Astyanax mexicanus: one gene and its partners. The protein of the gene in region 3 binds, or shares a complex with, the protein of the main gene of each other region. Links are inferred from orthologs where the notes say so. Each region holds a gene or a part of one and is shown on either strand. Other genes may lie near its edges.

What was found. Proteins that work in one complex are often made in the same cells at the same time.
Region 1: taf5 (region 3) and taf3 share a complex: the UniProt entries of both Homo sapiens proteins name them as parts of the TFIID basal transcription factor complex. The link is inferred for Astyanax mexicanus from reciprocal best matches to the Homo sapiens genes TAF5 and TAF3.
Region 2: taf5 (region 3) and taf13 share a complex: the UniProt entries of both Homo sapiens proteins name them as parts of the TFIID basal transcription factor complex. The link is inferred for Astyanax mexicanus from reciprocal best matches to the Homo sapiens genes TAF5 and TAF13.

The regions. Positions count from the first base shown.
Region 1 is NC_064409.1:21,105,485-21,109,242, reverse strand, and holds the start of taf3 (transcription initiation factor TFIID subunit 3), read right to left. Parts: upstream 2,565-3,758; 5' UTR 2,384-2,564; coding exon 2,218-2,383; intron 1-2,217. UniProt on the Homo sapiens protein: The TFIID basal transcription factor complex plays a major role in the initiation of RNA polymerase II (Pol II)-dependent transcription.
Region 2 is NC_064420.1:35,142,981-35,146,065, forward strand, and holds taf13 (transcription initiation factor TFIID subunit 13), read right to left. Parts: upstream 1,790-3,085; 5' UTR 1,652-1,789; intron 1,535-1,651; 5' UTR 1,497-1,534; coding exon 1,122-1,496; 3' UTR 634-1,121; downstream 1-633. UniProt on the Homo sapiens protein: The TFIID basal transcription factor complex plays a major role in the initiation of RNA polymerase II (Pol II)-dependent transcription.
Region 3 is NC_064428.1:23,233,866-23,237,623, forward strand, and holds the start of taf5 (transcription initiation factor TFIID subunit 5), read right to left. Parts: upstream 2,845-3,758; 5' UTR 2,794-2,844; coding exon 2,439-2,793; intron 1,532-2,438; coding exon 1,306-1,531; intron 286-1,305; coding exon 1-285. UniProt on the Homo sapiens protein: The TFIID basal transcription factor complex plays a major role in the initiation of RNA polymerase II (Pol II)-dependent transcription.

The DNA of each region.
Region 1 (3,758 bases), on a different chromosome or scaffold from region 3:
ATATATTCACATTATATATTACATTAACGTGTTTTTCTGCTTCAGTTAAGCCTACTAACTTGACTTTTTGTTTATTTATTTTTTTACAGAATATTCATGATTGACTGCTTGGGTTGGCAATTTTAGCTACTATAGTGATGCTTGAAAGTTGTTTAACACTTTGAGGTTTTCTACTTATATTTTCAGAATAAATATTATGATATTATCAGATTTTCATACACAAGTCTAAAAAATGGATAAGGAAAACCCAACTATATTTGACTCTTTTTTATGAAGGGAAAACTATCCAATATTACATATCTGTGAGTAAACTAGAAGTCTATATAACATTAGAATAACCCAAATAAACATAAACTCAGTGGTCAGTGAGAGTGTCTACCTGTACTTACCTCTATATAATATTAGTATAAATCCAAATAAACATAAAGAAGACATTTAGTGCAAATATTGCTAACATACATTTTTTTACAGAATATTAAATATTGTGACTGCTTGAGTTGGCAACATCTTGTTAAACACCTTTAGAAGTATTTAAGTATATTTTCAACACAAATATGACCTGAAACTAGATAAGTAGAACCAAAGTAAACAAATGAGTCCAAATATCTAACTCAGTCATTTATTTATTATTTATAAATTACATATCTATGAGTGGCACAAGTATGTAAACCTTTGCTTTCTTCTGCAACAATAACTGTGACTAAATATTTTCAGAAATGGTTGTTTAGTTCTGCACATCAGCTCTAAACAATTGTAGTCCATTCCTCCATACAGAGCAGCTTCAGCCCTGTTATGTTGGTGAGTTCTTTATTCCAAAAAAATAACCTAATTCTTTAATATACCAAAAACCAACTGTTTTTGGTATATTATAAGTGTGTTTTGGACCATGTTGTTGCTGCATAACCATATTTGTTTGATATTTAGATCACAGACAGACGTCCTGACACTAGTTTAAAATTCCCTGTTCGATCAATAATGGCAAGTTCTCCTGGGACAGATGCTGCAAAACAGGCTTAAACCATGATACTACCAACATGTTCCACAGTTGAGATTTTTATACAGGAAGCCAGTGCTTTTCTGTCTCAAAACACAACACATGTAATTTAGGATCTAGCTATTTTGCACCAATTTATCCACAAAAATAGCCTTCTGGCTTGTCCATGTGATCTTAAGCCAACTGCAGATGGGCAGCAATGTTCCTGTGGGTGAACAGCTGCTTTTGCCTGGCATCTTTGCCATGCACAGAATTGTTGTTCAGTGCTCTTCTGATAGAAGACTAATGATAATTAACACTAACATAATTTGTATACAATGTGAGAAAGGTTTAGAAGTTGCTTAGAAGTAATTTTGAATCCATTGTGACTTTGGGGACTATTACACACCTTGCACTTGGTGTGATCTTTCTTTGTGGATGCTACTGGGAGAGGTAATGATGTAACTGTAATCTATCTGACTGTGGAGTCCAAACATTAGAGATGTTATTGAAACAATTTCAGCTTGATGTGAATCAACAATGCTTTCTCTGATGTTCCCAGAATTCACCTGTTTGTGGGAGATGATGCACTTCCATAAACATGGGTGGTGAGGATCTAAAACCTGACTCAATTTTTTAAACTATCTCCTAATCCTAAGTGTTTACATAGTTTTACTACACATATACACTATTGAATCATTGTCCTCAATAAAAACATGACCAAGTGTACTATATTTAGCCTCATGTTTGATTTGGTTCTACGTATCTTACTCACTTTCAAGATTTAGGACGTTTTAGATCAGACTTATGCAGAAATGTATGATAAACAGCTATATAGAGCTTACTCAAACCTATAAAAATGAAGAACTATTATTTAACAGACATTTAAGTATTAAGTTATTTACATTCACTGAGATCTGCTCTGCAGCTTTGGTGCACCAGTGTTCCCAAACAGAGGAGCAGGAAAAGCATAATTGCCTGAATTTCAACATTTTAACCTGTTTCTTCACACGTACAGAGCTAAGAGAGCTTCTGAATGCAGTTTTATTACGAACATGTCTCCATTAAAGCTCCAAAACAGTCAGAACACTGACTACCCTAGTGCTAGCTACCACCTGGAGCCCAGGCGCACACTCAAAACATTGGCTCCAAGAGCTGATAAATCAGTATTCTTGCACTCAAAACTCCACATAACACACCCCTAAGCCCTATTTCACATGTGTAAATCCCTTATTTCTACTCACAGAGCTCGGAGTAGCGGTGGCAGCCCCGGGCGAGCTGCTGCAGGTACCGCTCCAGCAGGTCGGAGAGCAGGTCGCAGGCGGAGAGCTGCACGGCGTCCCAGCCCAGCGCCTGGCAGACCTGCGCCACGGAGACCCGCAGCAGAGCGCGGGCATAGCTCTCACACATCTCTCAGCCCCGCCGAGCCGGACACGGCATATCCCACACCACAACAAGCCGCTAAAACACGCGCTGGACCGGCCTGCTGCTCCTGCTGCTGCTGTTTCTCCGGGCTGCTTCAGATCAGGAGGTCGGTTAGCGCTTCCATAGCAGGCGCCATCATTCACTCACTCAACCGATAGTCGAGTCATCGATTCCACGCATGCGCACAACACACACACAAGACCGTTCGCGACTCGATTATGTGCGGGATCATCTACACGTCCTTAATTTAAAAGCTCCCAATAAATAACACGGATAAAAAGTTCTCAATAAACAAACCAGATAAATAGCTTCCAATAAATGAACCAGATAAAAAAAACTCAATAAATAAACCAGATAAAAGGTTCCCATACATAAATCTAATACAAATGTTCCCAAAAAAATTTAAAAAACCTTCCCAATAAATTAACCAGATAAAAAACATTTCAATAAATAAACGGAAAAAAAATCTTAATAAATAAATTAAGAACTAAAGGAATAAAAAGTTCACAATAAATAAAGCAAATAAAAAAGTTCTCAATAAATAAAGCAGATAAAAAGGCTCTCAGTAAATAAGCCAGATAAAAAGTCCTCAATAAATACACCAGATTAAAAAAAGTTCTAAATACATAAACCAGAATGAAGGTTTTCTATAAATAAACCAAATTAAAAATGGTTCTAGTAAAAAAAGTTCCTAATAGGTTAACAGGATGAAAATAGTTCCAAATAATAAACATGTTTTTAAAAATCCAATAAATAAATCGAATAAAATGTTCATCTTAAAATAACGGATAAATAAGTTCCCAATAAATAAAACAGATATAAAAAATCTGAATAAAAGTGACGTTTAAATTACTCATTTACATGGAAAATTGTGTACATTACACACACATGGAATATGACATGTATTTAAACAAAACACAGAACTTTATTACTTATATTCCCTATATAAATTGTAGTAAACTATTGAACATATGTGATGAATACTATTTAGGCACATGTCAAATATGCCTTTAAAATATAACATTAATAATTATCCATTAAAAGAGTTTGTAGGAGACATTAAAAGAGGTTAAACTCCCCACCAGCCACATTTTGTTAAAAAGCGTTCTTTAGCTTTCATGGGACACAATGTTAGCTCCTGGAAGTTTAAATGGTCATCATCTTAAAGGGGTATTACTATTTTTTATTTGGCTCTGGATTGGGGACTTTTATTATAGTTGTTTAATACTTGTACACATTGCTCTTATTATTTTTTAAATGTGTCTAAAGTTGTAGACATCAAACCTATTTGTATATCTGCGCTGACCATCATTACAACATCAGACAAATAAATAATGCCAATTTATTAATGTTAAGTTTC
Region 2 (3,085 bases), on a different chromosome or scaffold from region 3:
TAGATGTACTACACACAGAATGATCTATTTTAAGCATGTATTTATTTTATTGTTGAGTCAATGAAACACCAAAAAACAGTCTCAAAAAATGTATTATATTATATAAAATCAACTGGTACTTTATATTACACAAAAGGCAGCCAGCACCAGCAGATGACTTGGCGCTCAAAACTATTGTTGATCATGAGTAAGTTTTACATTTTGTTAGGAAATCAAGGAACCAGAGTCTGGAGGAAGAGTGGAGAAACACACAGACCAAACTGCTCGAGGTCTAGGGTGAAGTTTCCACAATCAGTGATGGTTTGGAGAGACATGTCATCTGCTGCTTCTCTCTGCTGATAACTTTTATGGAGATGTGGTTTTCTTTTTCCAGCAGGACTTGGCACACTGCCAAAAGTATTTATTAGTCTTATATAATATTCTAATGTTCCGTCACTGATGTTTGGGTTTTTATTGGCTGTAAGCAGTCATCGCCAACAATAAATTAAATAAACACTTAAAATACATTGTGTGTTTGGAACAACTTAAAAGGAAAGAAGTGAACTCCTCTACTTCAGGAGGAGGTTTGAAAAAAAATTAATTACAAGACTTACAAATTCTAAGTGTTTTTCAAAAAGAACAAACGCTAAAAAATGAATAAAACATCTGCTTATTTATTTGTTGATGGTTCTGTTTAATTTTCCACACAGGTGCCGGAAAATGTAAAAACAAAACAATTGTTATAACAGAGCTGCAATAAATTTGAAGATCAATCCCTGCTTTAAAAAAATCCAGATAAGAACCAGCTGGTCATCCAGACCTATGTTGGTAGTCCAGCTGGTCTTGACCTGTATTTTTAGCAGGGATTACTTTTGCACAGTGCTTTATACAATCAGCCTACAGAAATTAAAACTTTACTAGACCTGTTCCAACTTTAATTCAACCAAGTAGGTCACCTTAAACATACAAACAGTTAAAGAAAATGCAAAAACAACAGGAAAAACGCATTTTATAAGAACCGGACATGTTTGTGAAACGTGCTGACCAATATACCAGCACAAAACACTGAGTTTTTAAGTCGTTTTAAACCCAGCAGTGGTAGAGAAACCACCACCACAGACTGTTCGTGTGTGAGAGACAGTTTAGGACCCATAGTTGGCCTCGTCGAAAGCCTTGCGAGCTCTCTTCAGCTCCTCGTTCATGGTGAGCAGATCTTTCACCCTGGCGAACTTTCTCGGGTCTTTTCTGATGAGAAACACGATGTCCTCCACCTGGACGCGGCCCTGCCGCCCGATGGACATGGCTTTGTGGGTCATCTCCGTGATGAACTCGATCACCAGGTCCTCCAGGATGTCCACTGACTCCGTGTAGGGGTTCTGGTCGTCTCCGAAGCCGTACATCATGCAGCGCAGCTCCTTAGAAAACAGCCTCTTTCTCCTGCCGTGTCCTGAATCCACACCGTTTCCAACATCGTCCAGATCTTCATCAAAGCCCGGATCATCGTCTTCCTCAGCCATGTTTGTGCTGCGGCCCGCAGTAGCGCTGAAGTCCCCTACTATCAACCAGAAACTCAATTCAGATACGGCAGGACACACACAAACACACACTGTTCAGACTCTAACTGTTATCCGTATAAAAAAAACGTAAGCAGTTTCCTGAATATGTAACTTACTTATGTAACTTTAAGCGCCAACCAGCTACAGAACCTTTTCTCTGGCGTTACAGCCACAAACACACACTTCCTCTTCTACTAGGACTTTACGAAGCTCTATAGAAGCACTGCTGCCACCTAGAGATCTGCACACAACTGCATCAACCTGCTTCATACTGCAGGAAAAAAAAGAAAAACATATATACAACTCTGAAAAAGAATAAGTGATTTGCTATTTATAGGTATACGTTTGAATAAAATGAACATTGTTGTTTTATTCTATAAATTACGGACAATATTTCTCCCAAATTCCAATTACAAATATTGCCATTTACAGCATGGATTTGCAGAAAATGAGAAATGGCTGAAATAACAAAAAAGATGCAGAGCTTTTAGATCTCAAATAATGCAAAGAAAACAAGTTCATATTCATAAAGTTTTAGGAGTTCTGAAATCAATATTTGATTAAATAGCCCTGTTTTTTATTCACAGTTTTCATGCATCTTGGCATGTTCTCCTCCACCAGTCTTACACACTGCTTTGGATAACTTTTTGCTACTCCTGGTGCAGAGATTTAAGCAGTTCAGCTTGGTTTGATGGATTGTAATCATCTTCTTCTGGATTTTATTTCAGAGGTTTTCAATTTGGTAAAATAAAAAAAACTCATAATTTTGTGACAATAAAGTATTTTTTTGAACACACTCATTCAAAATAAAAAAATCTGATTATGCTTATTTTCTACATTGTAATAATAATAATAATAATAATAATTAGTATAATAATAATAATAGTTATTAGTATTATTATTATCTATTTATTTATTTTTAGAACCTCCTAAAATTATATATATGTATTTTTAATTAAAAATAAATCTTAACACGTGTTTGGCGGCGAGTGATCGCTCGCAGCGCCCCCTGCAGTATTGGAGTAATGTATAAATATTGACGAAGGGTGTTTGCTGAAAGCTTGAATTGTGATCTGAAAAAAATGTTTTGAACAAAAAAAATTAATAAAAAAAAACAGCCTTTTAATACCAGTTACAGTTTAATTACAAGTTCACCAGCTACCACACTAATTACCAGTGTGTGTAGTGTGTGTAGTATAGGCTGTGTGTTCGGGCCACATTTCCCGGGGTGCACTGCATGTACACGTCAGAGGAGCGTGGCCGCTGCTGCTGCTGCTGCTGCCAGACACCAAAACAGAACGGAGTTATATATATACCATGGTGAATGAGTGTAGCGGACCCTGATCACCTGAGTAACTATACATTACCATTAAATCATCACTATCAGCAGCCCGAGACTCCATACTACAGGAACAGCTATGGTAACATAGCTCTTTACTAGGAGTACAGTCTGTAACTGGAGGGAACAATGTTAACCAGGTAAGAGAGTCTGAACACTGAGGTTTAGCTGGGTTAGCTGTTGGGTAGCGGTGGGTTAACCAGGATAATGG
Region 3 (3,758 bases):
CCCGCCAAACTGCCGGACATGCTGTCTATCTGGCTCTTGCTGCGAGGCATGCCATCGAAGATGTCGATGTAGAGATGCTCCTGAATGATGTTCCAGATCTGGTTGTTCTGTCGCTCCTGCAGGTGCCTCTTCAGCAGCTGGTAGGAGTCGCGGGAGATCCGCAAAACGAAGCGGCTCGTGCGGAAGTCTAGCAACGTCTCGTTGCCCTTCATGTGCTCCTTCTTGGTGAGGCCTGAGAGCACCCGCAAGTCGTCCTGATAGTAACACTCCTGGTCCCCATTAAACCTGAACATGAAAAGGAACGTTAGGCAGGAGCTGGAGGAGAGTTTCTGGGCAACAATTACAAGAAATACTCTGATCAAACACTGAAAAATTCACACTGTACTTATTTCCCATTATATGTCCAGTAGAGAGAGAATATATGTGTACAGTATAACTGATTTTATTTTCATCCTGTATAAATGTAGAGCATTATTAGTATCATGACATTCTGGATCACTGACCTCTGTTACAAATCTGATAGAATTCTAGTATTTTTTAATATTTATTATAGTTAGGGGTGTGTCATGTCATATTATATGCAATAATAAAACCTCATTTTAATTTTGTTGCAGTAGTGTATTCTTAAAATATTTTCTTTAATTCAGTGTTTTGTCATATCGCCAAGAGTATCATTATGGCAAAATTACCATGAAATATTGTGATATTATTTTAGGGCCATATCACCCACCCCTACTAGGCAGTGCCTGAAGAACTGACCATATCAGTCAACACACTGCAGAACTATTAGAACATCCAACTCTCTAGATCTCAGTGGGATTTCTTATGTGCTAATGAATTGTGTGAGATGTTAGATCAGAGAAAACAATAAAATGTGCACGGCAAAGGCGTTTCAGGGCCATGACTGAGACCAAAACTACTTAATTACCTACTTAATTAACCTCATATCGATATGTTTCAGATAAATGGTGATAATAGAATATGTTACGATACAGTATGTCTAAATAGTAAACAACTAATTTTATTAAGTATATAAATAAGTATTTCACTGACTGGACTATGCTGTGTGAGAAAGTCTTCATGCTGCTCCTTTAACTGTGACACTTTTCCAACATAATGCACAAGACTAAAGTCTGCACCAAAGCATTTCCACACACACCACCCATGTAGAATCTTTTTTGGAAATAAATGCAATTTCTGATGGTATTATTATGATATAAGCATTTTTATATCTTGTATAAAATGGGTTTAAATATAATGAAATATACGATTGATATATTGCCCTGCCCAACAGTAGTCACTTACTTCTCAAAAAAAGACTTGGCTTCACTTTCATGGTTGTTGTAGACCAGCTCCAGGTACATGTGCACGAAGAGTGGATAAAAGAGCTGCGACAGCTCGGCCCTGTGACAGTCCAGCACAGATTCAATGAACTTCTTCAAACCGCTGTAATAGACCTGATACAAGGATGGGTCACCCTGCTGACTGTACGCTGACAGAACCACGCTGACGTCCGGCTGGTCATCTCCTCCTGCAGACAACACATGAAATCAGAATATCATTAAAAAGTTACTTTATTTCAGTATTTCAGTTAAAAATGTACATAACATATATATTATATTTAAATATATTACACACAGAGTGATCTATTTTAAGGGTATATTTATTTTATTGCTGATGATTATGGCTTAAAGCCAATGAAAATCAGAGTCTCAGAAAATTGGAATATTATATAAGACCAATTGGTACTTTTGGCAGTCCTGCTGGAAAATGAAATTGTATTGTAATAGCATATCTTGTTATAAGACTGACATAAAAATAAGATTTAAATGACGCAGAATGTCTTTTAGTTAAGATTAAGGATCTTGTTATAAGATTGTCATAACACATGATGAGCATCTACTTCAACTAGCCCTCATAAACTTTACTATCCTGTGTTATAAGTGTTACCGGTACAAACAGAACTAATTAGCAGCTTGAGGAATTTTAAAGAAAGGTTTTAGTAATTGAAATGTTGGAGGAACCCCTAAAGGTGCTTTAAGGAGCCTTTAAGAAAACATAAGTTGCATAAAGGAACATTTATGGACTAAAACATTGTTTTGAAGGTTCCTCAAAGCCCCTCGAGTGGTGCTTTCTGTTTGAAATTGAAGAAACCATAAAAGGTTTCTCAATCAACTATTTATTTGTGTTTAGACACACACACACACACACACACACACACACACACACACACACACACACACACACAAAAAAACAAACACACACACACAAACAAAAACACACACAAACACACACTACTACTACTACTAGTTGTAGTAGTAGTAGCAGTAGTGATAGTAGTAGTAGCTGCATGCATGTGTGTTTTGACGTTTTGAGAGCAGCTCTGTTTCTTAGTCTGAAGCTCTTCTCTTTGTTCAGCTCCTCTCTATCAGACCCACCTTTAGCCGGAGCCGGAGCCGCCGCGCTCTGTGAGCCTCCAGACACCCGGCTGAGCAGCGCGCCCGCATCCCCGAGCTCCCCGCTCCCCGCCGCGGCTCCGCCGGCGCCTCCTGCAGCCTCGCTCCCCGGAGCTTCCTCCGGCTCGTCCGCCAGTCCCGCCTCCCGCCGCAGCGCGTCCACCGACTCGATCAGCTTGTTCCGCTTGAGGAACTGCAGCACGGCCAGCAGCGTCTGCTGATCCTCCGGCCGGGAGCTCGGCGCTGCAGCCGGAGCCGTGGAGCCATCGTTCATGAGCTCGGGCTTCGGCTCTTTCTCGCCCTCCAGCTCGCTCCCTCCGTCCTGCACGGCCGCCATTTTCTCCCCAGGCGCGGAAACTACTAGCTACAGACGGAACGACTCGTCAGCGAGTCGAGTTTCTTTTGAACCGGTTCTTTTGAATGAATCAGTCGAGCAGATTCAACTCAACTTCAATTCAGGACGTGACTGTTGTGCTACTGTAGCTAGCTTCAATAGAGATTAGTATTTTAGCATTTCAAGGGCATTCTGACAGCTAAGAAGAAGTGTAGGCTTTAAAATAAGAAAAGTACAAGTGTGAATTATCATGAATATTATGAAAATATTATGTTAAATCAAATTATTAGGAAAGTTAAAAATTAATATGAATATGCAGTGAAGTAAAAGTGGTAGCAGGAGAAAAAAAAATAAGAATACTCAGATACAGTATTTTAGTAGTTCCACATCTCTGGATACCAATGCTAATATCCTAAACCAACACGTCAAAATCCATCTGCGAATATATAAAGTATTTTTGTGCATGAAAAAGCAACTTCTGTAGGCACCGACATTTAAAAAAAATATATGTTTTAAAGCTTTAGTATTTATACACTTTCCTACTGACTATTCTTTGAGAGTGAAGAAAATAAAATTAATTATACAATCCTGTCCTACACAGTTATTTATTTCACACTCTAAAAACGTTAATAAATATTTGGATCAGACTCAATTAGGTGAAGCAAAATGCAAACCTAGTTTAATTCTAATTACTATTTAAAATACAAACCCATTAAACGAAGACCTAATGAATCGTTCACGTCAACGTTCGATTCACTGAATCAAGCCGGTTGCCTCTGTTCAATGAACTGAATCGAGCAGAACCAGTTCGAGCGGAAACGAGTTCTTACGCGATGACGTAGCGTGAGAGAAAAGGGACACGCCAAATGCGCGCGATTTCATTGGTTGGATTTTTCCGCTATTTTATCTCTTTTATTTTTTTATATATATTTTTTTTTCTTAATAAATTTAGATTTCTGAATGAACAA